Linked DNA regions of Drosophila melanogaster. Changing the gene in region 1 together with any one later gene gives a genetic interaction. Each region holds a gene or a part of one and is shown in the gene's direction. Other genes may lie near its edges. The genes, in order: Lrt and robo1.

What was found.
Region 2: of Lrt (region 1) and robo1, changing one suppresses a phenotype caused by changing the other (phenotypic suppression), as found in Drosophila melanogaster (one study listed by BioGRID).

Annotation. Positions count from the first base shown.
Region 1 is NT_033778.4:20,644,726-20,660,176, forward strand, and holds the start of Lrt (Leucine-rich tendon-specific protein), read left to right. Parts: upstream 1-1,634; 5' UTR 1,635-2,238; coding exon 2,239-2,321; intron 2,322-7,831; exon of another isoform or gene 7,832-8,489; coding exon of another isoform or gene 8,490-8,680; intron 8,681-8,814; coding exon of another isoform or gene 8,815-8,967; intron 8,968-9,019; coding exon of another isoform or gene 9,020-9,178; intron 9,179-10,244; coding exon of another isoform or gene 10,245-10,281; exon of another isoform or gene 10,282-10,371; intron 10,372-11,030; exon of another isoform or gene 11,031-11,128; coding exon of another isoform or gene 11,129-11,262; intron 11,263-11,341; coding exon of another isoform or gene 11,342-11,405; intron 11,406-11,457; coding exon of another isoform or gene 11,458-11,546; intron 11,547-11,613; coding exon of another isoform or gene 11,614-11,767; exon of another isoform or gene 11,768-11,884; intron 11,885-12,504; coding exon 12,505-12,910; intron 12,911-13,165; exon of another isoform or gene 13,166-13,237; intron 13,238-13,378; exon of another isoform or gene 13,379-13,450; intron 13,451-13,590; coding exon 13,591-14,778; intron 14,779-14,843; coding exon 14,844-14,990; intron 14,991-15,055; coding exon 15,056-15,141; intron 15,142-15,199; coding exon 15,200-15,451. Other genes in the region: DMAP1 (DNA methyltransferase 1 associated protein 1), read left to right, coding at 54-643, 703-857, 928-993; CG16799 (uncharacterized protein), read right to left, coding at 8,490-8,680, 8,815-8,967, 9,020-9,178, 10,245-10,281; CG11159 (uncharacterized protein), read right to left, coding at 11,129-11,262, 11,342-11,405, 11,458-11,546, 11,614-11,767.
Region 2 is NT_033778.4:22,691,583-22,708,813, reverse strand, and holds robo1 (roundabout 1), read left to right. Parts: upstream 1-7,843; 5' UTR 7,844-7,936; intron 7,937-8,218; exon of another isoform or gene 8,219-8,617; intron 8,618-8,779; 5' UTR 8,780-8,861; coding exon 8,862-9,012; intron 9,013-9,079; coding exon 9,080-9,201; intron 9,202-9,437; coding exon 9,438-9,618; intron 9,619-9,729; coding exon 9,730-9,848; intron 9,849-9,908; coding exon 9,909-10,362; intron 10,363-10,422; coding exon 10,423-10,902; intron 10,903-10,959; coding exon 10,960-11,042; intron 11,043-11,108; coding exon 11,109-11,269; intron 11,270-11,330; coding exon 11,331-11,412; intron 11,413-11,477; coding exon 11,478-11,648; intron 11,649-11,706; coding exon 11,707-11,799; intron 11,800-11,863; coding exon 11,864-12,062; intron 12,063-12,120; coding exon 12,121-12,395; intron 12,396-12,450; coding exon 12,451-12,742; intron 12,743-12,804; coding exon 12,805-13,037; intron 13,038-13,094; coding exon 13,095-13,426; intron 13,427-13,501; coding exon 13,502-14,261; 3' UTR 14,262-16,290; and 1 more. Other genes in the region: CG30275 (uncharacterized protein), read right to left, coding at 1-131, 348-662, 722-990; Obp58d (Odorant-binding protein 58d), read right to left, coding at 1,100-1,498, 1,553-1,681, 1,738-1,866; Obp58c (Odorant-binding protein 58c), read left to right, coding at 2,154-2,195, 2,252-2,600, 2,661-2,869; Obp58b (Odorant-binding protein 58b), read right to left, coding at 3,246-3,457, 3,522-3,873, 4,057-4,104; Obp59a (Odorant-binding protein 59a), read right to left, coding at 5,408-5,653, 5,735-6,097; CG30259 (uncharacterized protein), read left to right, coding at 4,416-4,556, 4,627-4,879, 5,172-5,395, 6,310-6,888, 6,945-7,370.

The DNA of each region.
Region 1 (15,451 bases):
CTTCATTAGACTTCTTATTAAGTAGCCAAAATTGTAAGCCATTTGATTTGCAGGTTCGATCTTCGCTTCATTGTGATGGCAGATCGTTGGAACCGTCAGCAGCATGGAACCAAAACTGTGGAGGAGCTCAAAGAACGCTACTATGAGGTGGTCGCTCTGCTCGCCAAGGCCAAGAATCAGACGAGTGAGAAGAAAGTATTTGTGTATGACGTCGAGCACGAACGGCGCCGCAAGGAGCAGCTGGAGAAGCTGTTCAAACGCACGACACAACAGGTGGAGGAGGAGAATATGCTTATCAACGAGATGAAGAAAATCGAGGCGCGCAAAAAGGAACGCGAGCGCAAGACACAAGACTTGCAGAAGCTTATTTCGCAAGCGGATCAGCAGAATGAGCACGCATCGAATACGCCGAGTACGCGAAAGTACGAGAAGAAGCTGCACAAAAAGAAGGTACATCAGCAGCCGCGACCCTCCAGGGTGGACTCGGTGGTTAATGCCATAGAGATCGGTAGCAGCGGCATCAAGTTCGCCGACCTGCGCGGTTCCGGGGTTTCTCTGCGCTCGCAGAGGATGAAGCTGCCGGCGAATATCGGCCAGCGCAAAGTGAAAGCCCTCGAGCAGGCAATCCAGGAGTTTAAAGTTGGTGAGTCAAAGCATGAAAAAACATTGCTAGCTGTCGCTAATTAAAACTTTTCTTTGTAGATCCCGCTCCGCCGCCCACGGAGGACATTTGCACCTCCTTCAACGAGCTTCGTTCCGATATGGTATTGCTCTGCGAGCTTCGCACCGCCCTATCCACCTGCGTCTACGAAATGGAGAGCCTGAAGCACCAATACGAAGCCGCCTGCCCGGGAAAGGTAAGTCTTCTGACCACAGTAATGACAGCTCAACCAATGCGGCTAATTGGTTTTCCCTTAATCAATGCAGACACTGAACATACCGCCCTCGCTGGTGCCCATCAAGACCGAAGCCCTGGACAATAGCACAAATTAATTAAGTTAACGCGGCCCGTTTCCACTCAGATTCCCCAGACGCCGAAGTGTGTGCGGCGTGCTAATCATTGTAACCCGTTTTCCACTGTCCATATTTGTGCATTTGCGCTACTCCCAGTCCGCATGGGGAAATAAATGGATAAACAAGAAAATTGTTTTGCGGCACACTCAATGTGAAAATCAAATAGCCCACGGCCAACGTTGGCCAAGCAGATGCCATGTCGAGTGTGAGAACTTTTTCCCAACTGCTTGATTTATTTTCCAGCCAAGAAATGCTCGCTTAGTTTAGTAGTGGCTCGCTTATTTGGGTTAGGCCAGCAAACAGCAAACAGTACGGTATGCGATCTTTGGCGAGCCGAAAAAGAGAACCGAGCCATGTTCAATTCGACAATGCACGATGCCCGCTGCCCGCTTCTCGATTCCTGATGCCTGCCCACACAATTCGGATGTAGATGCAGAGGCGGTGGCGGCAGCCCATTCATCGGACCAGTATTTGTGAATGAACCGACTGCGAAGGCAAACACACACAGAACACAACACAGACGAACCAAAAAAAAAAAAAAAAAGAAGAAAAAAAGAGAGGAAAACGCACATGAAATCATTCTGTTGGCGGCTCGACCTGCCTTACCTGAGCGTAGGCCGCTCAGTCGAGTTTCAGACGTCGTCGGGATCAGTTCGTGGCTGTTGATTGCTCCTACCATTTCAGTGTTTCTGTGTTTTGCCGCATGCAACTCGAAGAGTACGGCTCTGTGAAAATGCTAATTTAACCAAATACTCAAGTGGTCGTTGCTGACGTCGGTCGGTGGAATTGGAATTGCTCGCCAAGCGCTACCTGTTCGTCATCATCATCATCATCCCTATCCCAGTCGTCTAAAACTCTGGGAATCCTGGCGGGGGGCAAGACAAACAACGCATCCGTTTCCGGTTCTTTCTGTTGATTGTTACCATCATATACATATATATATATATAAGTACATACCTACCTGCAGTTCCTGCCGCTTTTCATGAATGAAATTTTAATTTCGTGTGTGCGCGAGTGTGTTTGTGTGCGAGCGGCGAGTCCAGCTTGAGCCCGAACTCCAGGGGTGTCAACTGACGGCCCACCGATCGCATTGTCGCCGGTGCACCGTAAAGATCTTTATCGCATTTCAAGTAGAAACGTTCTGGAGCACAGGGCGAGACCCGTCGGTTATCAGGTAGAAAACGGAAACGTTGCTCCGGCCAGGTTAATGCGGTTTATTGTTCTATGAACGCTGCCAGCAACGTCGCTCTGTTTAAGTTTCGCACGCTGATAAAGAGGACCTCGCCCATAATGCGGCCAAAGCTTAGGTGAGTGTATAGTTGGTCTCTGCGTTAATTTGATGGCAAATAAACATTTGTGTCGCCCACAACGATTTATGCGATAGAAATCAGAGTGCTCTGAATACCACATGACTTTGTGGCGAATTTTAAAACTCTCTCTCTAGCAGAAATTAGCACAATTTAATCTAACAAAAGCCAGCTAATCGCGAAGTCGATTCGGCCGCGGGCTCATAATAAACTCGTATTAAAATTCATAGATATAATGATTTCGATCAGCTCAAAAGTCGTTTAACGCCGCCCAACGCACGACACTTCCGTTGTGTGTGTGTGTGTGTGTGCGTTTGTCTCGAATTTCGTACAACTTCATGGGCTAATGTTTTCCCAATTCACCTGAGAGGCCCACGCATTTCGAGGGCTCGAGTGGAAAGAGAGACAATGGAGGAAACCCACACACGGAGGCTCCACTGTTTTCCCCGCTCGGTTTACGCGCAATTAGCGCTTTGTTGTTGCCTCTCTGCCGTCTCCAAGCTCTTCTAATTTTATATAACTCATCATTTTCACAGCGGGCAGCTCTGGATGCTCGATCTTAACTTACGGCGACAATGAAATGGGAATGGAAAAAGACGTTTTTTTTTTTGTTTACATTTCATTTTCGAACGCCCACAATAATAACGAAAGCGGAGGGTAGACAAAAAACGATTGCTCATAATTAATGTTTATATAATTTTTTTTACTGCTTTACATGCGGCTCATTAGCCGCCTGGCCTGGGCTTTTGGAATCCACACACATTTGGTTTCTGTTCTTCTTGGCTTGACATGGCAAGTTCGTTGCCTAAGTCTTTTGTTTCGCCAACCGTGGGCGATCGCTTGATGCGGGACATACACATATACCCATAGCCAAGGAAAAGAGATAAAATAAGAGACATTTGTGCTACTTACTTGCTGCTGCTGCTGCTGCTGCTGCTGTGGTTGCTCCACAACCAGTTGCCAAATTTGGCAATGGGAGCGCAACGACAGCTGCCTACTGCCCACTTACTTTTTGTGCTCAAAGTGTGTCGCTGTCATCCGACGAGATCCAATGAGCTAATGTTTTTTGGGTCTCCCCCCACCCATCTCCACCAGCACACAATGATGATGCTCTGCTGGCTAAGAATGTGTGCTAGGATCATCCTAGGGCTTTTTTCTAGCAGTGCATGCATAACTTAAACAGCCATTCACTTAGCATACTCCTCCGCAGCATCCGAGCAATTTCTTGCCACACAACTTTGGGTCTATCTGGCATTTGCATTCGTGTGTGGGCAGCCGTCGGTGTGGGCTAGACCAAGATCTCCGGCAGTATCTATCAGCCAACTGATGTCGCATAATATGTTCAATTTTGTCTATTTTCGAGCTCATTTTCATGGCATGGCGGCTTTCTTCTCTCTCAATATTTTCCCCCGAAATTTTCATTGATTTTTGATATCGCGCCAGCAGCGATTTCCATTTTATTGGCTTGCTGTCTTTATGGTCTGTATGTATGTATGTTTTGGCTCGACTTGTCACGGCTTTCGAAATGTCGCAATTAACAGTCGATTTAGCATTATGCACATGCGTTGGCGGCCTCCTCGTGTCTCAACTGGCTTTCTGAGGTTTGCGTGGGCTGTGAACTTGGTTTCTTAGGTATCTCGGTTGCCTCGGATGTGGACTTTTTTCGGGGGAGGTACGGGGAAAGTTACAAAAGAGGCCCAGCTTTTGGGTGGCATCACTATAAAAATTGTACTTATACCTATTTATATTTAAAGATTATTCAAAGTTAAGATGTCTGTTATAATTAAATTAATGATTTTAATTCATTGCCCAATTCTTGGTGCTTTACTTTGATGGAATATGAATTTGAACTTAATGATTTCTTCCTGTCCATTTTTTCATAATATGATGTTTTAGTTTATTATATGGCACGACGATCCTTTCACGTTAATAATATTTAAATGCTCTTATACGCATTAAATAAATGACCCACAGGCAAGTGAAATGAGCTGCAGGAGCGAACAGACCAGAACCCAAACATTGTCCATAAATTTCGAGCTCAAATTGCTTTTAGTTGTTCGCAGCGGCTGCCGTCGGCCATATTCATATGCAAATGGCATACAACAAAAAAAAAAGCAGGCATACTCGGATTTAAAAACATTTTTGGACCAGAACGGGCCAACGAAAAATCCAATTTAATTTAAATTAAACACAGCCTGCTCCAAGTTCATTCATGTTCATGTTCAGACGGAGGCTGCGAGGGCCATAAAGTGCAAGATTTGGTAAATAAAATAAAAATGCCGGCTTAAACAACTTCGAAAATGGTTTGTTTACCTTGCCCCAGGGGAAATCGCTTCGAATCGGATCGGATCAGCCGATTCAGTTCTTCCCCCGGCGGATTACCCAGATTATTTTATTGTTCAGAATTTTGTTTTATTTCACATATTGGCCTCATCTGAATGTAAACAAAGGACGCAACTTGCAGCGACTGCTGTCACTTATGGCTTACTTTGTCCGAGATTTGGTTAATTGTTCGAGTCGAGCAGCTGCCCACGTGTGTGTTCAATTAAAAAGTAATTTGCCCAGCACAGGCAGCTCGACAAACAAAGGCTAAAACGGCAAAAAAAAAGCAGTCAAAACCAGAGACGACAGCCAGTCAGCCACCCACACGTTTCCGTTGACTTGTCGTCGGCCCACTCTTAAAAATAATACTCACTAATTTTATTTCTCGGATTTGTTGCTTTTGTTAGCCCGCCTGCCTTTTTTTTTGTCGCTTACAACTGAAACAAGTTTGTCAGACCTGTGATTTGCAGTTCGCTTTGACAATATTACCAGCTATTTGAAAATGCCAGCGAGCCCACATTAAGACAGATGTTGTTGAGGCTATTTAAAAATTGAAAAAGATGTGAAAAATTTTTCTTTCAAAAAAATATATAATATATTTGATAGCTTCGAGATTGTATTAGCTTTCATGTGCTCAGAATTTTAGCGTAGACTGGCATTATAATGTATAAGTACCTCACTTAATAATTATCTGTAGCGAATGCCCAAATAAACAGAAATAAAAATGCTGATTAAGCTTTGAGTGCATTTATACGAGCATCGAGAATCATAAATAAGAATGGAAATTTGATATTTCAGATCCTCGGCATCCGTTTCCGTCTTAATAGAAAGGGACTTATTTGTGTGGGTCCTTGAATGGGTAAAGAAAGCCTGCCAGGATAGGCATCACAATTAAATCCCTTTTTGTATGTTTCAGTTTCCTGTCCTTTTGTGTCGGCACATTTTTCCCTTTTTTTTCGGCATGCTAAATACCTGGACAGACCACAATTGTTGATGCTGGTGTGGCTACTTGAGTTCAGTTTCGAAAGCAGCTGTTTCGGTTTTCCAATTTTATTTCTTTCATTTTTCAGACCTCACGTCTGTGGCTGCCACTTTTGCGTGACATTTCGACCTTTGGTTGGCTTTTGCAGCAACTTTTACTATTTTCATGCTAGGCATAAATTTCATTTGCCACACACACAAACGCGCTCGTTCAGTATGTGCCACATTTCGATGCGCTTTCAACACTCGAACAATGCACCAGCATGTTGATATTCAATATGGCCGAAACCAAACCGAAATAAAATGAGGAAAAAATAAAAATAAAATAAAATAGCAAATTACTAATTTCGCCTTTGGCCTAAGCAACATGTTGCTGTCATTATGATTAGCTACATGTTGCCCAATTTGCTGGCTGCAACAGTTGCTGCTGGTTTTTTTTGCTCGCTCATTCGTTTGCGGTTAAAAAATAAAATATTTAACAATAAATAATTAGGCAACACAATTGCAGCTGTCGCCAAATTGTGCTCTACACTTTGCTGCACAGAAAAAAAAAATAAGACACATTTCCCTTAAAGTAGCAAATCGGGTAATAAAAACAAAATTGATTGTTATTTTTATGAACATCTAGCTGTATAATTAACAACCAAGCTCAAAGAGCAACTACCATTCGTTATCTGTCTACCTACAATTACTTATAATCTTTTTTCTTCAAATTTTTTTTTGCCATCTATTGCCAAAGAAGGCGAGCTAACGAAAAACGCGTTTTTAATTGTTCGGTGGCTTATCGCATGTTTTGACCATTTTGGGAGCTCTAAATTGTTTGGCAATGGTGAGAGGAATAAATACGAGAAACAAAATAATAACATTGCTATGCCAGTTAGGCCACAAATTATGTGCAAAATAAATAAGAATCGTTTTTACAACGATCCTCCGCTATTTCTGATTTCCAATCAGTTTCGAAGTTTTGCGGCAAGTTTTCAGAGTCAGCTGCACTCACACCCATTTCGCGGCATCATTATCATATGGCTGTATCTCTCGATCTTCATGCAGCATCATCCGGCGCAGCACAGAAAACGTTGCAATGCCGTTACCAACGCAATCCATTTCCAACCATTTGGCCGTGTTTACACCCATATACCATATAGCACACACAATATACCATCTCATGTGCAGAGCAGAGGGTTTATTTCCGTTGACGTGCCTTAATTTCAGGCAGTTTGCGTCTGGCTCTTGCCGCAGTTTCAGTTGTTCCTGGTGCCCAGGTCTCCGATGATGACGATGGCGCTACGAACCGAGCGCCTACACAGCAACCGGCGCAGATTTCAAGCGGTTTACTCAGCTAGAATGGTGGCTTGCCATTAAGTTAAGTCATAATGTTGCTAACCAAAAACTGGATTATTCTCTAATGCCAATCAGCACGTTTTCGGTTTATCTGGCTTATATGTGAAACATATATTGAAAAACAAATAAAATTAGTTGCATGCTAAAAACCCGATTGATTATTAGAGTGCATTTGAAATTCGCCTACAGCTGGCAGGCGATGCGGATGTGTGGGAGCTGGCAGCTCCAGATGAATGAATAATCAACCCAAACTGGCGTCTCCAGTCTGCAGCATACATGGAGGTGATGGGATTCGGAGTGGCTCAACTGGTTGTGGCGACATGATTAGCGAGTCCGTGCTAAGTCTGAGGCTAAACAGACAGATAGTTGGCCCATGGAACTCGGCAGACGGATATGGGGATCGAGTTTTGATCGAATGCTCCTGCTGACTCACTGGCGACAGGTCAGCGATGGCATCTCCGAGTTCCACGATTCCACGGGCGGTGGGAAGTGTGGGGCGTGGCATTTTATGCATAATTAGCCACACTGAGGACGGGTAGGAAACCAACAGAATGGACTGGCTGGGGGACAGCGGAAATTAAAGGCACTCAAACGTTTCGAATCGTTGACCAGTTAGCGTGACAGAGGTGGAGTTGTGCTGAGCTGCATTTTAAAATATTTTTATTGTTGAGGATGTTGCCGGTGTGTACGCAATGGTCAAAACAACACTTGACTCGCTGTCGCTGCACAGAAAGAAATAATGGTCAAGTATAAGCCACTAACAACTGGTTAATATATATATCAAATTATGTAGCCAAGTCTATCTTTATCACGTATTAAAACAGAAGTTGAGATAAACATGAAATCCATTTGTGAACAAATATTTCCCATTTATTTTCACATATCCTGATTATTTCTTTTCGGTGTGCGATTTAAGCGGCAAAGCTCGGATTTATGTTGACCACGTACATATGCAAAACGCATTCTAATGGAACCGGCGATCCAGTGTTTCCTCTGCTTATGTTTTGGCCATTGTAGTACAAAGTTACGCTCTGATTTTTGAGCCTCCACCTGTTATTGTTTGCCCCGGGGCTTTGCACGGTTCCCTGAATGATCCGATGGTGATGCCCTGCGGTGCGTTTGGCCATTGTTGGCCAGAAACGGAAACGCCGCCTTTTGTCGAGCGGAAATGCAAAATGATATTGTTCGTCGTGGTGGCGGTGGCAAGAACCCAGCTTGCTATGATTGACTTTGAATGGGTCTCGGTTTGCAGTCTGTTGCGCTGCAGCTCTGTGGACTATCAATTACCACCCAGTTGCAGTTGCAGATGTCATTGGAAAGTGGCATCAAGATCGCAACGCCCAAACAAAGTGCCAGGTCGCCCACTTGGCAGCCCTCAGTCTCCGATTCGCGATCCCTGTGTGGGCATCAGCCAAGAAATGCAACTCCGACCAAGCAATTATGCAAAAGCATTTATGTACACGTACACATATGTAGTATGTATCTTTAAGATAGATGTTCAAGTAGCATATAGCACATAGCTGTTCAGCCCGTTAAGAATCCACGAGGTGATCGCACTGGAGACAGGCTACGCAGGTTGCAGGCCACGCGGAGATTGGGCAGATTCTGTGGATTGCGGCAGAAGCGATCCCAGCCCTTCCAGTATTTGAAGCCCTCGCGTTCCTGGATCATTCTGGCGCAGGCGATGTCGTCACTGATGTCGTCATTGGAGAAGTCTGCCAAAGATGCGTGATTAGTGAACTTTTTATGCAAAACAAGCACCTCAATAGAGTAATTGAATTGAAATTGATTGATTGAACAGTTGAAATTGTTTCCTGCTGATAATATAACTAGTATAATGCAATCTTACCTTCACATTTCATATTGCACTGCCCTCCTTTTCGTCCTTCGCTGCAATAATCCTTGCTGTTGATCTGAAAGAGGCCATAGTTCTTGCTTTCGTTTCCCTTTTTCGTTACTTTGGTGGTGTCCAAGTAACTTTCGTGCTCCACCAAACAGATCCCTAACAAAACTAGCTTTAATTCAATGGATTTAATTTTGTAGTAATGACTTACAGTTGGAAATGAAGGTCTTGTCGAAGTTGTAGTTCTCCACCAAAACTCTTGTGAGTTCGCAGCGCTGATATTTTTTGGACTCCACTTGCTCGATTCCCAGCTGCAGCAGGATCAGCACTGGAACTATCCATAAACAAAAAGTTTTCATGTTCATCAGATCTAAAAGGAGATCAGAAGGAGAAGGCAACATCGATTGCATTAGAGGGTATTTTGCTTAGTTTTACGTGTGATCCTCATTATTTATGGACATACTTAACTCCTCACCCAAACGGTTCAAAGAGCTCTGTTGTGCGTATAAATTCACTTTCCCATTTCGAAGCTACATATAACACCTGGTTTTGGTTCGAATATTTAACAATCTTTGAAAGTGTGGAATTACCAATGGACAGTTGGCATTTTTAGTGGAGATGCTTTCACAGTTCTGTAGCTTTTCGCAGTTTCCCATGGCATGTCTTCTATTTAACACCAAACAATATTATTCCTAATAATAAGCACTACAAAATTATCATTATATACACCTTTGTTTACTCCCACGCGTTCACGAAGCCTTGAATGTTTTGGCATCTTTATACTTCTTTATTGTTACTTACATATCTATATTTCATCCATTCTATCTAGAGAAATGTCCATCACGTTTGTTTACGTAAAACATATTTATAAAGTTAATAGATATTGAGTTATCATGATGAGATTAACATCACTGGTTGTGTTCATTTTATTATTTACTGTTTTTTATTTTATTTTATTACCTGTTTCGTTTTTAATTATCAATAATTTTTCTATAAATTAGTGTCGTTTTTTTGTTGGACTTTTTTGTTTCTGTAGAATTGCCTTACATGTTGATTACGTGTCATTAAAACGTGAAAAATTCGTATGTAAATAATAAAGAATATGATTTATTCGCAACAGTTTAACTAGTCACGGTTATCTAATACCAAAAACACAAATTAACTTCAACGCAGTTTTAAAGTCTCCTTCATAAAGGAAACCCACTGTGCACGTTTCACTTTTCATTCAGTTTTCCATGCAGGCAAATGTAGTAGTAGTAATGAGTTTAAGATATTTCCTCTAGCAGAACACTTTTACTTCGGCAAACAGTTTGTTTACTTTGTTTACCTAATTAACGCAGAACAACAGAGTTCTCGGCAGCAGGAAACGAGTTTTTTTTTTGAGGGGAGCACGAGTATCTGTATTTGTATCTGTATCTGTATCTGAGTCTTCTTACCGCGTTTCGTTTTGGGATGGCGTGCTTTCAAACACATATGTTTATATGTATGATTTGCACACCCGATCGGATCCGATGAGAAGCTAGCCCGCCGGTGCGACGCTGCTGGCCCGAGCTTAAGTACTGAACGCCCAAGTATTTCTCAGATACAATTGCGCCTCAGTTCGCTTTCGAATGGCGGCAGTTCTCTCCCAAAAACGACGATCGCAGAGCAGCAAGCCAACCAAACGAATTTGCTCGCCAGCCTGATAATGCTGATAAGGTACTAGCTAGTCACGGTTGAAAGTATACCACCTGAACTCTCTGACAAATCAAATGATTTGGATGGTAACGGAGAGGGTTTTGGGCTGGATCCATGACTACCAAACCCATCCTGATAATTGTGAATGAAAGCATTTATCAATCGAAGAAGCCCGAGTTCAATGATCCAAACTTATGATAATGTGCTTTATCGGAATTTTTGGTATAAAAAGATACTACAGAGTTTTATGAACGCGATCTAGCTAGCTACTATGTTTAATTTAAGATTTAGATCCACGTAGGTGGTATTAAAAGAGACTTAAATTTGTCTAAACATTGCAGTAAAATGATTATAAAATTTTTTTCATTTCTTTTGTACACCTATAAAAATGAACGTTCCATTTGATAGCTAAAATTTGTCAAAGGTGTTTGTTTAAACGTGGGGACAAAAAAACAACATTTTGCGATTACATCTCGCTGCAGCTGATAGCGGGAATTCCTGGAAATGCTTTAATCACGCGATTAGTAAAATAAATACACCTTATTCAATGAAACTGACTTAGGCTTTATGTATGTGCAACTTTAGTAGCTATGAGTAGAGTTAGTTAAGACTATGAGCGAGTCCAAGTGCAGCAGTCGAAGTCCTAGCAACGCGAGACATCGGGCAGCGTGCGCCCACGACATTTGCTCATCCATCCGGGCCAGGCCTGGAATCCGTGGCGGTTGAAAATCTGCATGGCACATCGCGAGTCATCCGAGATCTCATCGTTAAGGAACTCTGCAGCGGACGGGGAAGGGAGAGGAGATCATAGACCGTCATTATATGTGGGTGTTTTTGGGAAGTCTTGCGAACTCACCTTCGCATTTGATGTTGCAGATTCCGCCACGACGACCTTTGCGACACCAATTTTTGCTGTTAATCTGCGAAATTGCGCTTTAGAATATATTTGATAAGGAACGTGGGTTGACCCACCTGAAACAGACCGTAGCTGACGCTCTGATTGGGCAGCTGCATAGATTTGGATGTACTGCGTCCACTCTCCGCTTCCACCAGGCAAACCCCTTTGCGCAAATTTAAATGGGAATTTATATTTCTACTAATTAACTTATTTAGGATACATTTACTCACAATTTGATAGATAACTGCGGGGAAAGTCATGGCGCAACAGCTCCTTGGCCAACTGACAACGCGTGAGCAGCTTAGACTCGGTCTCCCATTGCGAAAGCAGGAGAAGATTGAGCACCAGGAAGAGCGCACCACCTTTGGGCAAGTGACTGGCCATGCTGGGTTGGGAGGGGCTTGTAATGTTGGAGGGACCACTGCTAATCCTTTTGGGTTCGAAAGATCCAAGAAGCGCTTCCCTCCGCGGCAACTGCGAGCACTGGGCACTTTGCTGCGGAATTATTTCTACGGCACTGGATGCGTAGCGCCCGAAATCTGGGTTTTTAAAGCCTCGCACGCAGTTTTTGTTTTCTTCTCCAAGTGGGAGGCGACATTCGGGAGCGGTCTGGTGACATGGAAAAATCGTGCGGGTTACTCATCGATGGGGATACTCCCATCCCAGTTTTAATACAAAAAATGTTTGAACTAATTTTGTCTGGGCAATCTCGAATGTATCTCAATCTTTGCCAGCTTAAAAAATATGACTTTTATTTTGTTACCATGTGGGATTAGAAAAAAGCAACCTAGTTTAGCTCTCAGTGCATTCAATAAATCGCTTTGATTGCGTTAAGCCGTAAATTGGCAAATTGTCTTGCAGAGATAACAATGGGAATCTTTAGCCCGAAACGCATCCACTAGATACTGGTTACTGGACACAGATGCACTATGTGTGGGTGTTTGTGTGTCAGAGTGTCAGTGACAACTGCGGCTTGACCTAAAAACGCATGATCTGTTGTTGTGCGAGGAGAGCAAGTGCATCCCGCCCAGTATCCAAGCATCCAAGCATCCAGACATCCAAGTGTTTTCGTTTTTCAATGCTCGTCCCACTAATTTCCATGAAAATTTTTCCACTTACAGTGCAATTCTCATGCTCTTGCTGCTGTGCACTTTGGCAGCGGCCAATGACCTCAAGGATCTGCTAGAGGACAGCACCACCAGTTCCAGCACCAGCACCACCTCCAGCACCATTCCCTCTTCAGTAACCTCGCCCACCACGCCCACCGCCTATGTGGTATCGGCGGCAGCGGTTCCCGCCCTCGTTGCCGGCAGAGGAAAGTCCAAGTCCACATCCGGAAAGTATGTGAACAAGAGCTCGCCGAGGAAGCGCAAGGCGGAGCAGGTGTCCTCGCTGCCGCTGCCCGTGGATGATGCCCTCATGGAGTGGAAGTGCCCCAATATCACGGGTACCCGGAACGCGGAACTCGAGTGCGGATGCGATCTGCCTCACACACTTCGATGCAACATTGATCTGCACGGGATGATGGTGAGATATTTCTAGGCATTTTCCAGATTTATCTATACAATTTAGATGATTGAGATAGAGATTTATTCGATCAATTCATTTTATGCTTATATTTTTCTATTTATTTAGCATGCTATCTTAATATTTAAAGTCGTATATTAACCTCTGATTTCGGAGTCGAATGCACCTATCTTATCAGTATTATCAATGATATTTGTGATTTATACTTAGATTTAATTAATTTAAAATCACAAATAGGCAGTGGGATTTTCAATTGACTCCGTGGCGCAACGGTAGCGCGTCTGACTCCAGATCAGAAGGTTGCGTGTTCAAATCACGTCGGGGTCAGAGGTAACATATTTTGCACTCTAAATATTCTGTTTAAAAATCATATTTTGATGTTGAAAATATGTATACTTCGCGCATCAATATGAGGGATATTATGAGCTATTAATTTTTACAAAATATATATATTTTAACTCTCAACTTTGACCCCGACGTGATTTGAACACGCAACCTTCTGATCTGGAGTCAGACGCGCTACCGTTGCGCCACGGAGTCTAGTTAGTAAGACTTTTAAAATATTTCTTAATAAATAAATAATCTACTAACTAATAAGTAATATACAAATATTTATAGAGTATTGATAAGTACATCTTTGCTTTGTAGCTTGATTTCTAACATAATTATACCTTCTACAGCTCCTGGCGGATCGACTACGCACTTCTCCCTACTCCATATCATTGCTGGACTGTTCCTTGCGCAACGTGACCTTCCTGAGCGACGCGAAGATCTTCGACAATGTCTCGCTCCACGGACTAGTAATCTCGTCCGGAGAGATCAAGCGGGTACACAAGTCCGCCTTCCTGGGCATTCGAGGACCGCTGCAAGCACTCGGTCTGCCCGGGAACGCACTGATGAGCGTGCCCTGGAACGCCCTGTCCACGCTGAGCGCCTTGGAGCGCTTGGATCTGGCCAATAACAAGATCAAGGCTCTGGGAACGGCGGACTTTGTGGGATTGACTAGCTTGGTTTATCTGGAGCTGAGCAACAATCAAATCTCTAGCATATCCCAACGCACGTTTGTTAATCTTCGAAAGCTGGAGGTGCTGAAGCTGGGCGGGAATCGATTGGGTGACTATGCCCAAAGCTTGAGGTCACTGAGTCAGTGCCTCAGTCTGCGACAACTGGACTTGCAGGCCAATAACCTGAATGGACCACTGAGCGAGCAAACGCTGCCCGGAATGAGGAACCTCGAGAGCTTGAATCTCAATCGGAATCTGATCAAGAGCATCCAGAACAAGGCTTTGGCCAATTTCTCGAGACTGGTGAGCCTCTCACTGCGTCACAACCAGATCGATGTGCTGCAGGATCACGCCTTCTTCGGCTTGGGTGCACTGGACAGCTTGGATCTGAGCTACAACGGCATCGTAGCCATCTCCAGTGCCTCACTGCAGCATTTGTCACGTTTGACCGTACTTGATCTTACACACAACTTCCTGCGAGCACTGACCTCGGATTTGATAGCACCGCTACCATCTCTTCGGGAGTTGCGATTGGCGGGCAATGACATCTCGATTGTGGCAAGAAACGCCATGGACGGAGCGAGGGAACTGGAGAGCCTGCAGATGCAGGAGAATCCCCTGTCCTGTGACTGCAGCATTCGTCCATTTGCCGAGTGGCTGCAGGAGTCGCAGCTCCATTCCAGTCTGAGTGCCTCGTGTGTGACGCCCCCGAGACTGGAAGGAGCTCCTCTACTCCAGGTGCCCGTGGAGACGCTCAGCTGCGACATGGACAACGTGGAGAAGGATAACGCCAACATCATGCAGCACCTGGAAACGTTAGCCAAGCCCAATCAGACGTCGCCCATCAAAGATTTGTCCGAAGAGGTCAGTACTATAATAAAGAAATTCGCTGTAACAACGTGTAATACTTATCATTATCCTTACCACAGATTATTCTACATGAGCTGCACTTTTCGACAGACTATGGACTGATCCTCACCTGGCTACTCAATCTGAGCAAAAAGGACTACATGTGCGATGCAATCTTTGTTTACAAGGAGGAGCACATCAACGAAATTCTAATAGATAACTCACCGGTAATTAATGTGGATAAACCGATCATGAAGGATCTTTTCTTATTCCATAATTTGATTCCTTGCAGATCCATTGCGAGAGTAAAGTGGTCAATGGCCAGAACACAGTCAGCGTCATAGTGCCGGACAGTTCCTCCCTGGAAATAGGCGAGAGGTGAGTTGTCCACCGACCGATTACCAGAATTAATAACTAATGTGCACTTTCCGTGAAGCTATCGATTTTGTCTGGTCATGATCCAGGAGCAGAAGCCCGACTCGGAACTGAACATCGGCTGCTCCAACATCACGCGACTGGAGCGGAGCAGTCCAGGTGCCGTTCCCGTGTCCCGTCAGTATCAGCGACGTCCCTACTATAACGCCAATGAGCTGAAGCCCGAGGTGGTGCACGATGCTGGTGAGGATTACCAGGTGAATCAACGCCGCTTCAATTCGGTGGTAGGAAGTCAACCGCAACAGACGCAGCA
Region 2 (17,231 bases), 2.1 Mb from region 1:
CGGCCACAACAAGCATACTCTTCGGATTCTGTCCCATTACCTCCTCGGCAATGTAGTAGTCGCCCAGCTCCTCTCGCATTTCTGGGTTCTCGACCTCTTGCATTGCTATAATATCGTCGTTATCTTCGGCCCTTCATGGGAAATATTTAAAACAAAACAAGAATGTTATTGAAACAGTTTCTTCAAATGCCTAACAATATCTAACAATATCTTAGTAGGCGATATCGATTTCAGACAAACTGATTAGTAGTCTGCTGCTTTTTAAGAGGCATTTGAATTTAAAATTTCAAATGCTATTTCTGATATAGTATACAATTTGAACAAGGAGCACAAAGAACAGAGCTTACAGTGCCTTCCGGTAAGTAATCCTCGGCAGAATTACGAACCTATCCACAATGTACAGGGACTGTGTGTTGTTATTCTTATCCATGCTATATTCCAGCGGGTAAAAGACCTGGGATATTTTTTCCAAATCATCGAAGGTTTCCACAAAGTGGATGGGTTGTGGCACATACGGACACCTAACAGTGATCAGAAACCACACCCTGCTCTCCCTGTAGAGCACATCCTTTATGATCTCAACCAGAACCGGGGACTGATCGCTCTTGTAGACGCAAAAGTTGAAAAACAACGCATTCAGCCAGCTAATGGACATGGATAGGCTAAAGGATATATCGGAAATAGATGATATATTCAACGTTTTAAGTCCTTGTATCAGTACCAGTATCTGGTGGACAACCATTCCAACCAGCAATCCGTGGGCAAAGCGGCAATGGAGGGATAGTTACGGAACTCGGCATAGGCCACCAATGCGGAGGATTCAGTGCAAAAAGCCAATATCCTGTAGGTCTGATAGGAATTGAACAGGGAGTCCTTGCCACGAAATTTCGGACGGATATTGCCGAACCACTTGACACCTGGCGATCGAATCAGCTTGTTGAGCCCATCCTGGTCTCCCGCTTGAGCCAAGCGAATCTGAAACTGATTCATCAGTGCGAATAATTTATGTGTGTGGTGTGTGATTAAAACTAAAAAACATACTGCGTTTATAAGCTTAATTTTATTACATGACATTTTTGAGTTTTTTTAATACGTATTCTTAGGCAGGACTCTTTGTGGGCAGTGTAATTCCATCTATTTGGTAGCATTCGGCTTTGGCATTTTCGCACATATCCTTAGTTCCTGCCTTGGCAGTGCCCTCCCACCGGAAGTAGGGACACTCGTGCTTCTGATGATAGTCACTGATGCACATGAATACCATCAATAGATAGGGGCGACAGGCTCCTTTCAGGAGCACCTTAGCCCCAGGACTGGCCTTTAAAAGGTTGTAGACCCCAACAGCATCCTTGCGACAGAACTCGAACATGGCAATGTGATAATCCTTCTCCTTGGGCCGATCCACAAATGTCTTTTCTGCATCCAGCTTGACCATCTTCATGTTGATGGTGTCGCTCTTACCAATGTACTTCTTTTGCTTGTACAGGCACTCCACAAAGCACTGAAGATACAAATATTTTCGTTATAATAGATATATAAAGCTTTAATTACCTACCGATAGAAACCTCAGTGTCTTGCCGATGTCAGCGTCCCCATCCACTGGCAACTTGGGTGAGTGTATAACGAAGCACTTGACCAGGTCCTCCTCTTCTCCTATATAAAGTTCAGAACAGCAGCCAGCCCTCTAAATTGAATTTTTAGACTTAATACGTTTGCTGTTCGGTTTTAAAGTAAGCTCACCGATGTGTTACACTTATCCTCAGTCAAGTCACCTGAAGATATGGCAACTGCAGTAGTTTCCTCATTATCCTGAGCCTTTGAAACGGCCACCAGAATTAGGAACGTCCAATAACAAACAATGTTGACCATTGCTTTTCGAATGTGATTAATTTACCATGGTCATAACATTTATAAAACCATGCGTGCTCATCATTTTGGATAAATGAATTTAAACCCAAATTGGATTGCTTAATTAAATGTAACAAATGTCCATTGTAATGACTGGAATTAAATGAGCGGATAAAGAAACATTTGCAGACAGTCTGATGGCTCGACATTTGGCAAATTGGCAGCGGTTTCCTGTTTTTATTTAAACGATATGTGGGTGACTATATAAGCTGTCGTAGTGGGCTGATTTTGGTATAAACGGCGGAGCAATGAAGTGCACCATTTTATTGAGTTTTTTCAGCCTGATTTGGGTGAGTTCGAGGAATGAAATTCACACTGTTTATATATATTCAAATACATGACTTAGTTTGCTGGTGGAATTAAAATTGATTGCGAGAATACGGAGGCCATTAACGAGGACCACATCCACTATTGCTGCAAGCATCCCGATGGACACAATGATCTAATCGAAGGATGTGCCAGGGAGACCAATTTTACGCTGCCCAATCAAAACGAGGAGGCACTGGTGGACATCACGGCGGACCGAGCCATCCGAGGCACTTGTTTTGGCAAATGCGTCTTTAGCAAACTGAACCTGATGAAGGACAACAACCTGGACATGGATGCCGTGAGAAGTTTGTTCACTGAAAGGTTTCCCGACGATCCGGAATATGCCAAGGAAATGATCAACGCCTTTGATCATTGTCACGGCAAAAGTACAGAGTTGTTATTTCAGCAAGAACTTCTTGGCTAACTGATATTTTTTTCACCAAAAGGCGAAGAGAATACCTCCATGTTCCTGTCGAAGCCCCTCTTCAAGCAAATGTCCAAGCAATTCTGCGATCCGAAGTCTAGTGTCGTCCTGGCCTGTGTCATCCGCCAGTTCTTCCACAACTGCCCGGCGGATCGCTGGTCGAAGACCAAGGAGTGCGAGGATACCCTGGCCTTCAGCAAGAAGTGCCAGGACTCGCTGGCTACTTTGTGAATAATGAGAATATCATTCTTCTGCAATAAAGAACATTAAATTTACGATTTACGACATTCGAATTATTTTGTTTAGATGAAAAAATGTTATGCATTCAGAATTATTCTGTATATTTGGATGTTTTTTTTTTTATAGGGATGTAATGGTAAACAAATACGATCAACTTGACATTAGTTAATATCGTATTTTTGCAAGTGATTTGATAACAATAAATCCATTTAATTAAATGTATTGCTGAGTTGGCATTCAATCACCCACCATTACTTATAAACCAAAAGAGCACATGAATTGAGAGCCATTGTTTTGCTTTAATCATTGGAAAATCATTTCGTTTTCCCAATTAAAATGTATTTCCTGAGGCAGGACTCTAAAGTGCTTACATAGTAGTCAGCACATCCTTGCACTTCCTAGCAAAGGCCAAGGTTTCCACGCACTCGGTGGTATTTGACCAGCGACTCGCTGGACAATTGTGGAAGAAGTTGTAGATGACGCAGGACATGATGATACTCGAGGTCGGCTTACAGAACTTGGCGGTGGAGAAGGCCCTAACAATTGGAAGTGATAGGAACTTTTCGGTGGCCTCTTCAGCTAAAATTTGGAATGGAAAAATTCAATTTTAAACTATGTTGATGGTTATTTTGCATGAGCTCACATTGTGTGTGACATTTTTCGTAGGCATTCAGCATTTCAGTCGCGTACTCCGGATCTGTTTGATGGTACCGCTTGTAGTACGAGCGCACCTTGTCCATATCCAGTGTGTTGTTCTCCATCAGATTGTAGTGATCGAAGACGCACTTGGCCCAGCAGGTTCCAACCATCGCCTGGTCCACGGTCACATCCACGATGGCCTCCTCATTGGGACTGGGCAAACGAAAGTTGGTCTGCTTGGCGCAAGATTCCGTGACATCGTCGTGGCCATCCTGATGTTTGCAGCAATGGTGGATGTTCTCCTCGTGAATACGCTCCATGTGCCGGCAATGAACTCGGACAGCCACGAGTCCATTCTGCATAGAAATATGCACATATTAAAGGATTAAAAAGTAGCTCGAATACGGATCCCCGATGGACCTTGAACTTTCAAAATTATTATGTACAATAAATCCGATCTAGTGTGGATAATCCATTAAAAACACCCTCGAACATTATCCAATCCAGAACAAATTGAAAACGGTGTTATGAGTACGTACCAAGCGCAGTGATATAATCACACAAATCACGAAACCAATTCTCAGCATGATGACAGCTTTCCAGCGGTTCGTCCTCAGTTTTATATGTCAAATGGTTCCCCTTTGATGGACAGCCCTAATGGCGTTTTCCACTGTTTCGCATTAATTTAATTCGCATCCATTATTATGGCAACAAACCTGGCGACGAAAAGCGAAATTATATGGAGTGGGTGGGCTAGTGAATCTTGTCATGGCAACGCCGGCAGTCAATTTATTATTTATTTTCCAAGGCGGCTCTTTGCTCGCCTAATTAGTCAGAGATTGGCCTTTGAAATTTGATAAGCTGATTTTTGGTAGCCGTAAAAAAAAAAAACTAAATCATGGGCAAAAAGGGTAAAGGAAAAGGCAACAAATTGGCCAACATGTCCGAGGAGGAGCGGGCCAGGTATTTGCAAATGAGGGCCGACATGGAGGAAGAGACGAGGCGGCGGAAAATGCAGCTCATTTCCATGTACATGAAGGTAACACACCACGAATTTGCAGTAAATCAAAATCAAAATCCCTATGGTATGACTTTTCCCATTAAAATAGAACAAACTGAAAAGAGAGGATGCTTTTGGTCGACTCAATATGGCTAAAATCAACCAGGAGTGGCGGAGCATTTTGCGCCAGGTGAAAATCCAGGAGCTGCGCCGCGAAATCGTCGATGTGGAGTCTTTCTTTCAGGAGGCACTTAAGCGCAAGGACCAGGTGATCCATCGCCTCATTGCTCACATAGAATCCACCGAGGATATGTACGCCAATCTGCAGCAGTCACACATGGAGAATATCACCAGGATAGTTGGTACGATTGGGATAACATCCTTAAAAATAACATTTTAATCAGAAACTAAATACACAGCTACAGCAATATGTTTAAAGATACTTAAAATGAATGGAATGGATTTCACATGTATATTAATGCTTTCGTTAATAAGAACATTGAAATATTTGGAAATCCAAAAATTACTGGAGTATTTTGATGTACATTTTATGAACAATAAGAAGCATTGTAAAATGAAAATTAAAATGGACACAAACCATTCAACGCAACTAGGCCTCATTTCTAACCCATTTATTTCTTATCCTTTACCCAGATACCCATAGAGATCGCATCGAGTTCTTTCGGACGATCTACGAGGACGACAAGCAGGCGGTGCTGAGCCAGTGGGAGCAGGACTCCGCCGCGTTCAAGGAGATGCATGCCCAGAAGCAGCAGCAACTGGAGTGCGTCTTCTATCAGCTGGAGGAGAACACCGATGGCGGGATCCGGGACAACCACGAGCGTTTCTTGGACCGCTGCGAGGACCTAAAAAGTGGGGTGAGTTTAATCCTAATTGAAGAGCATGTTGCCGTGCTCCTCCCAATCCTCGCACTGCGCCTTCGCGTACTCCGACATGCACTTGACCAGTTCCCGGGCCGCTGAACACTTGTGGTGCCGGCCCCTTCCGTTGCTCTCCAGATAGCGGAAGCACTGCTGCACGGTGTCCGTGAAGAAGTTGCGCAGCTCCCGGTCCCGAAGGTCCTTGGTCAGCAAATAGCTCACCTTGCGCCGATCGGGCATCCCATTGCCATCCACCTGTGGGTGAGAATTGAAAGGAATAAGCTCCTGCTTCTCTGAAGGATTTCGACTTTGAAAGGAATCTCTTGGATCACCTACCATATTCATCTCCTCGAAAAAGCACTGGGCCACACACTGACCTCCATCGTTGCTGGTGTGGTTCCTGCCATCCGATTGCCTTAGTCCTCGCTGCCTTCGATTGCCATAGCCGCCCCTGTTGCCTGGATTCCTGTCCTGCTCCTCCTGATCGTGATCCATTCCGTAACCGTACTCATAGCCATTTCCTTGCCGGCCCTGTCCACCTCGTCCTCGATCTTCGTCCTCGTCCTGGCGATGCATACAGTTGCGCACAGTTCGCTTGAGCTCCGCTTCACTTAGTCCCTCCTGGGATCTGCATTTCAGTGCGTAAATGGAGCAGGTGCCGCAGCTCAAACAAATCAGCAGGAAAATCAACTGTTTCATCTTGGGAACTGAATGGAGGAGCAGCTATGCCCACATCATTTATAGTTCTGGAGAATGGCATCCAAATTACAGAGTGACTGACGCACAATGAACCAAGACACATATCAATCTTAATTTTACAATTGCGTGCAATGCTCTTCGATGATTATATTTTACAATAAAGGTTATTTTAAAAGTTTATGAAAACATGTTAAATTGAACCCCACTTCCAGATGCAACTACAGCTGGAGCAGATCACCTCCAGAGGTGAAGCTCGATTGGAGAAGCTGTGGCAGGAGTATCAGGGTGTTCTGGCGGGCTACTGTCAGCACATCGAAGGCTTTTACTCGGAGTACGTGGATCTGAAGCAGCGGGATGAGGAGGCAGCCCTCCAGATTAGCCAGCAGACCCACGAAATCGAGCACCTGGTAGACCAGCTGACCAATTTGCGTCTGGTCTCCGAGGAGTTCTACATCAAGCAACAGGGCCAACTGGAGCAGCGGCAAGCCATCAAACAGCAGTTGACCGAGCGACTAAGGGAGCTACGCACCTGTGTGGAACAGGAGGTGGCCAGGGATCACCAGTTGTTCAAGCTGATGTCCGTGGAGAGCTACCATGCCTTGGAATTCCTCCAGGAAACTGTGGCCAAGGGCGAGACTCTGGCACAGTTGTCTGCGGTCTGTGCCAAGATGGAAACCCAGCGGGAGCGGATGTTCCAGTTGCCGGAAATATCCAAGGAGATTATCGAGATTCGAGATATAGAGGATCAGGGTAATGGTTCCTTGACTGACCCAGCCACTGATCTTCTTAAGGTGAGTAAAAATGCCAGTAGGTAATTTCTTCATTCAACATTGGTTTAACGTACCAGGACGAGGTGGCAGTGGTACCCCAAATGGAGTCCTTCTGGCGACGCGTCAACAACGTGGCCGTGGACGTGGCCTGCCTGAAGCAACAGAAGCGTCGCCTGGAGGCGGAGAACAGCCAGCTAAAGACGCAGCTGCAGGACTACCTGGTAAATTTGAACATTGCCAATGGCTCCAATAGCCACGTCCATAGCTATCTAGCCCGGCGGCCCAAGAGCATGTCCGTGGACAGAGTGTCGCGCCTGCAGCTCCAGCCCAAGCTGGTGAAGAGTGCCCAGCCGACTGGTCGTCGCCCAGCGGCGCCCACACCTCCCACTTTCCACTTGCATCCAGGACGCAGCCGAGCGCCTGCCTTCGAAGCCAACCTCTCCAACGTGGTTCTTTCGAGGACTTTGGCTAGGGGAAAGATGAACCTGGCCAGAATGGAATAATTTGCTAGACTCTGTAGTTATTTGATTAATGCAGGGAAACTATATTAAACAAAACACCTTAAATTGGTGTAGGAACTATTCTCTACCATAACAATTATCTATATATTTTTATAGTATTTTACAGTTGGTTCTACCGTGAACATGAATATTAATATATACGTATTTAAGCAATCACACACAAATTATATAGATATTCTGAATAAAACGGAATTTTTTAATAAACCATTCAACATCACAATACATACATTAATTTAAATATTTACATTTTATTAATATCTTAAAACATAGTTGGTATATCTTTCGATTTCAATTTCAATACAATAGAAATCAATTAAAGATTCAAATAGTTACTTTACGCGGCGCTACCAGATCAACTGATAAATATGTCCTCTGGTATTTTCGAGTATTCCTTTTCGGTACACCCCAAAATATATCGATATATCGATTCCGGGCGTTGCGCTCTCAAATTTCCACAGACACGACCCACGTCCAATTGTGAGTTTTCGCTGCGCCGTGAATCGCACTAAAGAGCAGGAAAATAGTTAATTTCCAACAGTTAAATTGGAGTAAGTTTGCACCCAAGAAAGTACGATCCAACCGCGAAGCTTCCATTTGAAGTAGATACTCGTTTTCGGATATTACAAAGTGCAGCTGCTGCGGATGTAAAGCAAATATTACAAGGAGTTATAGATACAACACTCTGTTATAGATATAGATACAACAACAACGGGGGGAAGTCCCAGGAACGGCAGGCGGTGCGAGCGAGAGGCAGCTAGAACGGCAGTGTGTGCGAGTGAGAGGGGTGGCGGGGCAGTTCTTGTTCTTGTAATTTTACCAAAAAGAAATTTCGTTCGGGAAATGTGGAAAATGTGCGCGAGGAGAGATGATGGAGAAAACAACCCCGAAAAGCGAGCAATCGTCGAATAAATACCAACAAAAACTTACACTGCGCGGCTGATTAATAAAATCCAAAAAATAAAAAGGAAAATAAAAACCAAATCAGCGAACGATACAAAAAAAGCGTTAGAAAGAAAGTGTGAGAACGTGAAATCAAAACTCCGAATCAGAATTTGGATTGTAAATTTTCGGGTCGGTGCGACTGAGACTGAGCGATAAACACAAAGGCAGATAAATACGGAAATAAAATTAATGGAAAACCAGCATAGACACATGTGTGTGGGTGTGTGAGTGTCCAAGTGTGCGTGAGTGTGTGCGTGTGTGTGTGCTTATCGCATGGAAATGCAAGCGTAAGTGGAGCAGGCGAGAAATAATTTCGAGTTTTTGGACAGATAAAAAGCAAAAAGCAAGTAAAGCCCATAAATGCCTAGCCATAATGCCGCCACGCCTACATATGTAACAGCTGCCCACATTTAGTTAACCCACATACTATCACCTATCATGCATCGCAGGACCCAAAAACAACGCCAAAATGATCGCCGCTGCATTGGGTCATCTGTAGAGTCGTCATTGCAACAGCACCAACACCATAAAATGCATCCCATGCATCCCGAAAACCACGCCATCGCCCGGAGCACGAGCACCACTAATAACCCATCTCGCAGTCGGAGCAGCAGGATGTGGCTCCTGCCCGCCTGGCTGCTCCTCGTCCTGGTGGCCAGCAATGGCCTGCCAGCAGTCAGAGGTAAACCCATCCTGGGTAATCCTCCCCAGGCCCAGTGGCTAATCCACATCCTTCCTACTCCTTTCAGGCCAGTACCAATCGCCACGTATCATCGAGCATCCCACGGATCTGGTCGTTAAGAAGAATGAACCCGCCACGCTCAACTGCAAAGTGGAGGGCAAGCCGGAACCCACCATTGAGTGGTTTAAGGTACCCACCAAATAATACTTTTCTAACTTGAATCACCATTACACTGGCAAAAGAAAACTTGATCTTAATGTTTTCATATCAATATTGTATATTTATTTATCTTTAAATATCAAAACAAAAATGAATTCAAAAATTATACAAAATATAAGTGGTTTTGAGTAGTTGTTTTTTTCCGTGTAGCCTTCGAAACCGAACCAAATCGTAACTCAATCACCCCCTCTTCTTTCCGCTCTCAGGATGGCGAACCCGTCAGCACCAACGAAAAGAAATCGCACCGCGTCCAGTTCAAGGACGGCGCCCTCTTCTTCTACAGGACAATGCAGGGCAAGAAGGAACAGGACGGCGGAGAGTACTGGTGCGTGGCCAAGAACCGAGTGGGCCAGGCCGTTAGTCGCCATGCCTCGCTCCAGATAGCTGGTAAGTTAGTCCGCCACTCTAGTCTGCTCTCCAACTTGTCTGCCCACACGCCCAGCTTTGTCTCCGATTATAATGTGCTTTTTTGATATTTTTGCAATTTTTCTTCGCTAGTTTTGCGCGACGATTTTCGCGTGGAGCCCAAAGACACGCGAGTGGCCAAAGGCGAGACGGCTCTGCTGGAGTGTGGGCCGCCCAAAGGCATTCCAGAGCCAACGCTGATTTGGATAAAGGTGGGTTCCGAAAACCAGACTGCGAAAGTCAGTTGTCTAAACCGCTTTTTGTGCTCTTAGGACGGCGTTCCCTTGGACGACCTGAAAGCCATGTCGTTTGGCGCCAGCTCCCGCGTTCGAATTGTGGACGGTGGCAACCTGCTGATCAGCAATGTGGAGCCCATTGATGAGGGCAACTACAAGTGCATTGCCCAGAATCTGGTAGGCACCCGCGAGAGCAGCTATGCCAAGCTGATTGTCCAGGTCAAACCATACTTTATGAAGGAGCCCAAGGATCAGGTGATGCTCTACGGCCAGACAGCCACTTTCCACTGCTCAGTGGGCGGTGATCCGCCGCCGAAAGTGTTGTGGAAAAAGGAGGAGGGCAATATTCCGGTGTCCAGAGCGCGAATCCTTCACGACGAGAAAAGTTTAGAGATATCCAACATAACGCCCACCGATGAGGGCACCTATGTCTGCGAGGCACACAACAATGTCGGTCAGATCAGCGCTAGGGCTTCTCTTATAGTCCATGGTAAGATTAAGTTCCATTACCAAAGAATCGCGTTTTAATCTTCAATTGTTTTCATTAAAGCTCCGCCGAACTTTACGAAAAGACCCAGTAACAAGAAAGTGGGACTAAATGGTGTTGTCCAACTACCTTGCATGGCCTCCGGAAACCCACCGCCATCTGTTTTCTGGACCAAGGAAGGAGTATCCACTCTCATGTTCCCAAATAGTTCGCACGGGAGGCAGCATGTGGCTGCCGATGGAACTCTGCAGATTACGGATGTGCGGCAGGAAGACGAAGGCTACTATGTGTGTTCCGCTTTCAGTGTAGTCGATTCCTCTACAGTACGGGTTTTCCTGCAAGTCAGCTCGTTAGACGAGCGTCCACCTCCGATTATTCAAATCGGACCTGCCAATCAAACACTGCCCAAGGGATCAGTTGCTACTTTACCCTGTCGGGCCACCGGAAATCCCAGTCCCCGTATTAAGTGGTTCCACGATGGACATGCCGTACAAGCGGGCAATCGATACAGCATCATCCAAGGAAGCTCACTGAGAGTCGATGGTGAGATGGTGATAGAAGTTCTGGCTTCCATTTATTACAATTTCATTTTCCCTGTAGACCTTCAACTTAGTGACTCTGGTACCTACACCTGCACTGCATCTGGCGAACGAGGAGAAACTTCCTGGGCTGCCACACTAACGGTGGGTTTGAGGGTTAATCCCCTAAGCCATATGCAAAACTAACCAATGAAAAACCTCTCACTTTAGGTGGAAAAACCCGGTTCTACATCTCTTCACCGGGCAGCTGATCCTAGCACTTATCCTGCTCCTCCAGGAACACCTAAAGTCCTGAATGTCAGTCGCACCAGCATTAGTCTTCGTTGGGCTAAAAGCCAAGAGAAACCCGGAGCTGTGGGCCCAATCATTGGGTGAGTTAACGCGGCGCACCCATTTAATGAGATCATCAATAAATTTGATTTTGTATTGCAGATACACTGTAGAGTACTTCAGTCCGGATCTGCAAACTGGTTGGATTGTGGCTGCCCAACGAGTTGGCGACACTCAAGTCACTGTAAGACAAGCCGTGAATATTTAAGTTTCCTCATGACTCACACATTCTGCTATTTTTATATATAGATCTCGGGTCTCACTCCTGGCACTTCGTATGTGTTCCTAGTTAGAGCTGAGAATACTCAGGGTATTTCTGTGCCTTCCGGCTTATCAAATACTATTAAAACCATTGAGGCGGATTTCGATGCAGCTTCTGCCAATGATTTGTCAGCAGCTCGAACTTTGCTGACGGGAAAGGTAAGCTAACATAATCACTAAAAGCGAAATCCGAAAACTTAATTATGTGTTTAAACAGTCGGTGGAGCTAATAGATGCCTCGGCTATCAATGCTAGTGCCGTAAGACTTGAGTGGATGCTCCACGTGAGCGCTGATGAGAAATATGTAGAGGTAAGTCCATCCTTTGTTGTTTATAAACAAACCAAGCTTATCTTTTCAATACCTTTCTGTCCAGGGCCTGCGCATACACTATAAGGATGCCAGTGTACCATCCGCACAGTATCACTCGATCACTGTTATGGATGCCTCTGCAGAATCGTTTGTGGTGGGAAACCTTAAGAAGTACACCAAGTATGAGTTCTTCCTAACACCCTTTTTTGAGACAATTGAAGGACAGCCCAGTAACTCCAAGACAGCCCTCACCTATGAAGATGGTAACAACTAGAAGCTAGCTAAGTTAAGTGCTGGGTATTTATATTCTCTTGATTGTAGTTCCCTCCGCACCACCGGATAACATTCAGATTGGCATGTACAACCAAACAGCCGGTTGGGTGCGTTGGACTCCGCCACCCTCCCAGCACCACAATGGCAATTTGTATGGCTACAAGATTGAGGTCAGCGCCGGTAACACCATGAAGGTGCTGGCCAATATGACTCTTAATGCTACCACCACATCTGTGCTCCTAAATAACCTAACCACCGGAGCTGTGTACAGCGTGAGGTTGAACTCCTTTACCAAGGCAGGAGATGGACCTTACTCCAAACCGGTAAGTTTATAGACATTTCATTTGAATCATTTTATATCTTCTTATTATTCGACAGATATCACTATTCATGGACCCCACCCATCATGTGCATCCGCCACGGGCACATCCAAGCGGCACCCATGATGGGCGACATGAGGGACAGGATCTCACGTATCATAACAATGGCAACATACCACCTGGCGACATTAATCCCACCACTCATAAAAAGACCACTGACTACCTATCTGGACCATGGCTAATGGTGCTGGTCTGCATCGTTCTTCTAGTCCTGGTTATTTCGGCGGCTATTTCGATGGTCTACTTCAAGCGCAAGCATCAAATGACCAAGGAATTGGGTCACTTAAGTGGTTAGTGCTGATTTTAAATAACTTTTTTTTTTCAATACAATATAACGATTTGAATTTTCTAGTGGTCAGTGACAACGAAATAACCGCATTGAACATCAATAGCAAAGAGAGCCTTTGGATAGACCATCATCGTGGATGGCGAACTGCCGATACTGACAAAGACTCAGGATTAAGCGAATCGAAGCTACTATCCCACGTAAACAGCAGCCAATCCAACTACAATAACTCCGATGGAGGAACCGATTATGCAGAAGTTGACACCCGTAACCTTACCACCTTCTACAATTGTCGCAAGGTGAGGATCATATGAATTGCATCACACAACAATTTCTTATAGGAAATATTCTTTCAGAGCCCCGATAATCCCACGCCGTACGCCACCACTATGATCATTGGTACCTCTTCCAGTGAGACCTGCACCAAGACAACATCTATAAGTGCCGATAAGGACTCGGGAACTCATTCGCCCTATTCTGACGCATTTGCCGGTCAGGTGCCAGCGGTTCCTGTTGTCAAATCCAACTATCTTCAGTATCCGGTTGAACCGATCAACTGGTCAGAGTTTCTACCCCCGCCGCCAGAACACCCACCTCCGTCTTCTACCTATGGATACGCACAAGGATCTCCTGAATCTTCACGGAAGAGCTCCAAAAGCGCAGGTTCCGGCATTTCTACAAATCAAAGGTACATTAATATACATTCTTCAAATAGTTGTTATTGCCTTTGGGTTCTGTGACTAACACTTTAATACCCTTGCAGCATTCTGAACGCCTCCATACACAGCAGCTCCTCGGGCGGCTTTTCAGCTTGGGGAGTTTCGCCCCAATATGCTGTCGCCTGTCCACCGGAAAACGTTTATAGCAATCCGCTGTCGGCAGTGGCTGGCGGCACCCAGAACCGCTATCAGATAACGCCAACAAACCAACATCCGCCACAGTTACCGGCCTACTTTGCCACCACGGGTCCAGGAGGAGCTGTACCACCCAACCACCTGCCATTTGCCACACAGCGTCATGCAGCCAGCGAGTACCAGGCTGGACTGAATGCAGCGCGATGTGCCCAAAGCCGCGCCTGCAACAGCTGCGATGCCTTGGCCACACCCTCGCCCATGCAACCCCCACCGCCAGTTCCCGTACCCGAGGGCTGGTACCAACCGGTGCATCCCAATAGCCACCCGATGCACCCGACCTCCTCCAACCACCAGATCTACCAGTGCTCCTCCGAGTGCTCGGATCACTCGAGGAGCTCGCAGAGTCACAAGCGGCAGCTGCAGCTCGAGGAGCACGGCAGCAGTGCCAAACAACGCGGAGGACACCACCGTCGACGAGCCCCGGTGGTGCAGCCGTGCATGGAGAGCGAGAACGAGAACATGCTGGCGGAGTACGAGCAGCGCCAGTACACCAGCGATTGTTGCAATAGCTCCCGCGAGGGCGACACCTGCTCCTGCAGCGAGGGATCCTGTCTTTACGCCGAGGCGGGCGAGCCGGCGCCTCGTCAAATGACTGCTAAGAACACCTAAGGATGAAGTGTTTGAGACTCTCCGAATAGGGGGATTAGGATTAAAGATAGCATCTAGTCTAACTCTTCATTCATATCGAACTGGAAATCAGTCTAGGAACTGAGTGAACTCAAAGTTTCTGCATCAGTTATCGAATAGAATAATTGATGTCTGGAGTCCACTACAACATGCGTCTTCGAAAACTGATGCTAGCAGATAAAGAGGAAACATGTTGCAGTGGAATCTTCGGTATTACACTCAGATACACAAAACCACACTTGTCACAATCATGGGGGCATTGTGCAGCTTTAGCAATTACGAATTTTTCCATTATCACATCTACCAGCGTAGAGACTCATAGACAGGCACAGTGCCCCTTCCCCATCCATGCACCACAGAAATGTTTCCCCAATGGGAAACGAGAACCTTTGTACTTAAGAGACGCGAGTGCTGTACGATAGATATTGCTTCATGAGCGCGAGGAGATAGTAATCACTACATAGCAGGGATCTGTGTCCCAGCAGAACTTCATTAAAATACGTACTCAAAGGAACTTATAGCAGATGATAAACCAGATCAGGCCATAGCAAGTACACACAAAGACGGTGGTTACTCAAGACGAATGTAGTTAGAACCAAAGTACACCATTTGTACAGCATGTTTTGGGGGCTTTTGAATCGGTCCTAGTCAATAGGCTTGATAGCGATACAATACGATACTGATTACGATACTTGTATGCAAACTCTTTCATATCTACGATCACAATCGAGCACTTGTCTCCGACTCGAACTTGTGGGGAGTTGTTGAGTGGAGTTTGAAGGCGACAAGTGAAACGGCAGTTGCAATGTTTAATGGTTAGTGCTTTTCTATAACAAGGAATAATATACTTCATTGACCCAGTGAATATATATATATATATATATACATACTAAACGACACACCACACTACTACTTACATACATAGCATTTAGACGAGTTGAGGAGCTGCACACGGCCAGCCGAACCAACCCCAGTTGTCCGTTCCGTTGTCCTGTCCCTGTGCAGATCCCTCCAAGACACAATGTTTTCTACAATCTTGCATTTTGAAAAGTCTAAAATGTACCTGTGATATAACCCCATTATACATTATAGTATTTTAATAATTTTTATATTTATGGTTTCCTAATTTTGAGTCGCGTTTTTTGTTCATTCTGTTCGATCGACGAGGAATGTTTGTTAGAAATCCCCACACAGACGGATTTTTTTTGGGCGAGTATATAGCATAATTTAGATCTTAGGCACGTATCACATTAGAAATGCAAAATGGATATATCATCAAATCAAATCGAATGGAATCGAGGAGGAGTAGAGTAACGCTCAGATAGTTCGGCTCGCCGAAGAGGCCCAGACACTTTTCCACTAAACCCCGGATCGTGAGTTGAATTGGGAAAAAAGGGGGCTCGCGAGAAGTGGTTGGGCATACGAGCTGTGGATATACGAAGTATCCAGGGGGGGACTAGAGTCAACGAATCGTTTAAACAATACTAAACACATATGCATTACACTTACCTATATAGAGATCATATAGCACCTAGAACCGCGCATGTATCAAATCAAATCAAAATATGCTTTAGCATACACTCACACAAATCCACTTCCTTGCTAGCCGCCCAGATCGGCCGGCATGTACATATATATATTATATATATATACATAAAACATACTCCTAATCCCAGTATCGAAACCAACTTGCTTGAGTTGAACTGCCCTTCCGTAGCCATATACATATAGAGAAAGCATAGTTGGGTCTGGGTTTTAATAATTAGCAACTAGTTTCTAGCGTTGTGTAACGGGAGTATTTTAAAGTCATAGCGTAAACGAATTTTAAGAACGAAACGAATCCTTTAACGAAGCGGACATTTAATTTTTAGTGCGTAATGCCATAAACGAACTTTTTCAAAAGCAAAAATAATAACTGACATTTACTTACGATATAAATACTATATCTAGATATATACATATAGCATTTAAAATTACATAAACAATAAAGGAACATTTTACATATATGTGGAAATTAAGCCGTTTGTTTTGGTTGGTACATATATCTGAAGTTGAACTGGAGGTTTTAGGATGCCTTTCCTTTATCCTAAGTGCACACTTATTTTCGCATTTCCTGGTACCACTTCAGTTTTTATTTGACCGATTCCTTGGCAGTAACGGTCTCCGATCGCCTGGCGGATATCAACATATGTACTTCTACAGAATTCCTCTTCAGCTGCAGCGGAACTTTGCACTTGAGACGCTGACAACCCTTAGGATTATACCATGACCCCTCAATCCAGTTTCAGTTTACATCGGTCTACACTTCCATGTGAATCTGGAAGTGTAAGTCGGTCCACAAGCTGGACAAGTGTTAATTCCCAACGGGACTCTATAAACTCATGTATCCTCCTTTCAAATGAGACCACTTCTAGCTGCAGGACACGCCCTAGGATCGGAAATTGGCTGCTTTCGTCGAGAGGGGGACTTATGGAGATCGTTTTAAGATCCGAGATTAGATTGTGGGTGTAGGATGTTGAAGTGTGTTACCAAGCTGAGGGTTTCATATTTAAACTTATGTGGAAAAATTAGCCAAGAAGAACTTGTAATGACATACGACATTGATTTCCAAATTTATTATCGGTTTAAGGGTGATTTCCGGATAACAGTCAACACATGTTTGTGTGCGATCAAAGGCAAATTATGTGATGTTATACTGAAACAAATATGTCACAGCTTGACGATAGCTTCTGATGCCCGTGTCCAAATTCCCGCTACCAGCACCCATCCAATGGATCACACCCTTTTTTCCTGGCAAGAGGTCAGAGCCACGGAGCGATGCGAGCTGGAAGAGATGCGGGCAGGCCACAAATTGGTCAGAGCTGGCGATAGCATCAATTGGACTTCATGGCGGCGCCTTGTGTTGTTGTGTTGTTTATCCCACTCTGGGCTGGCACACTGGCTCAATCTGGA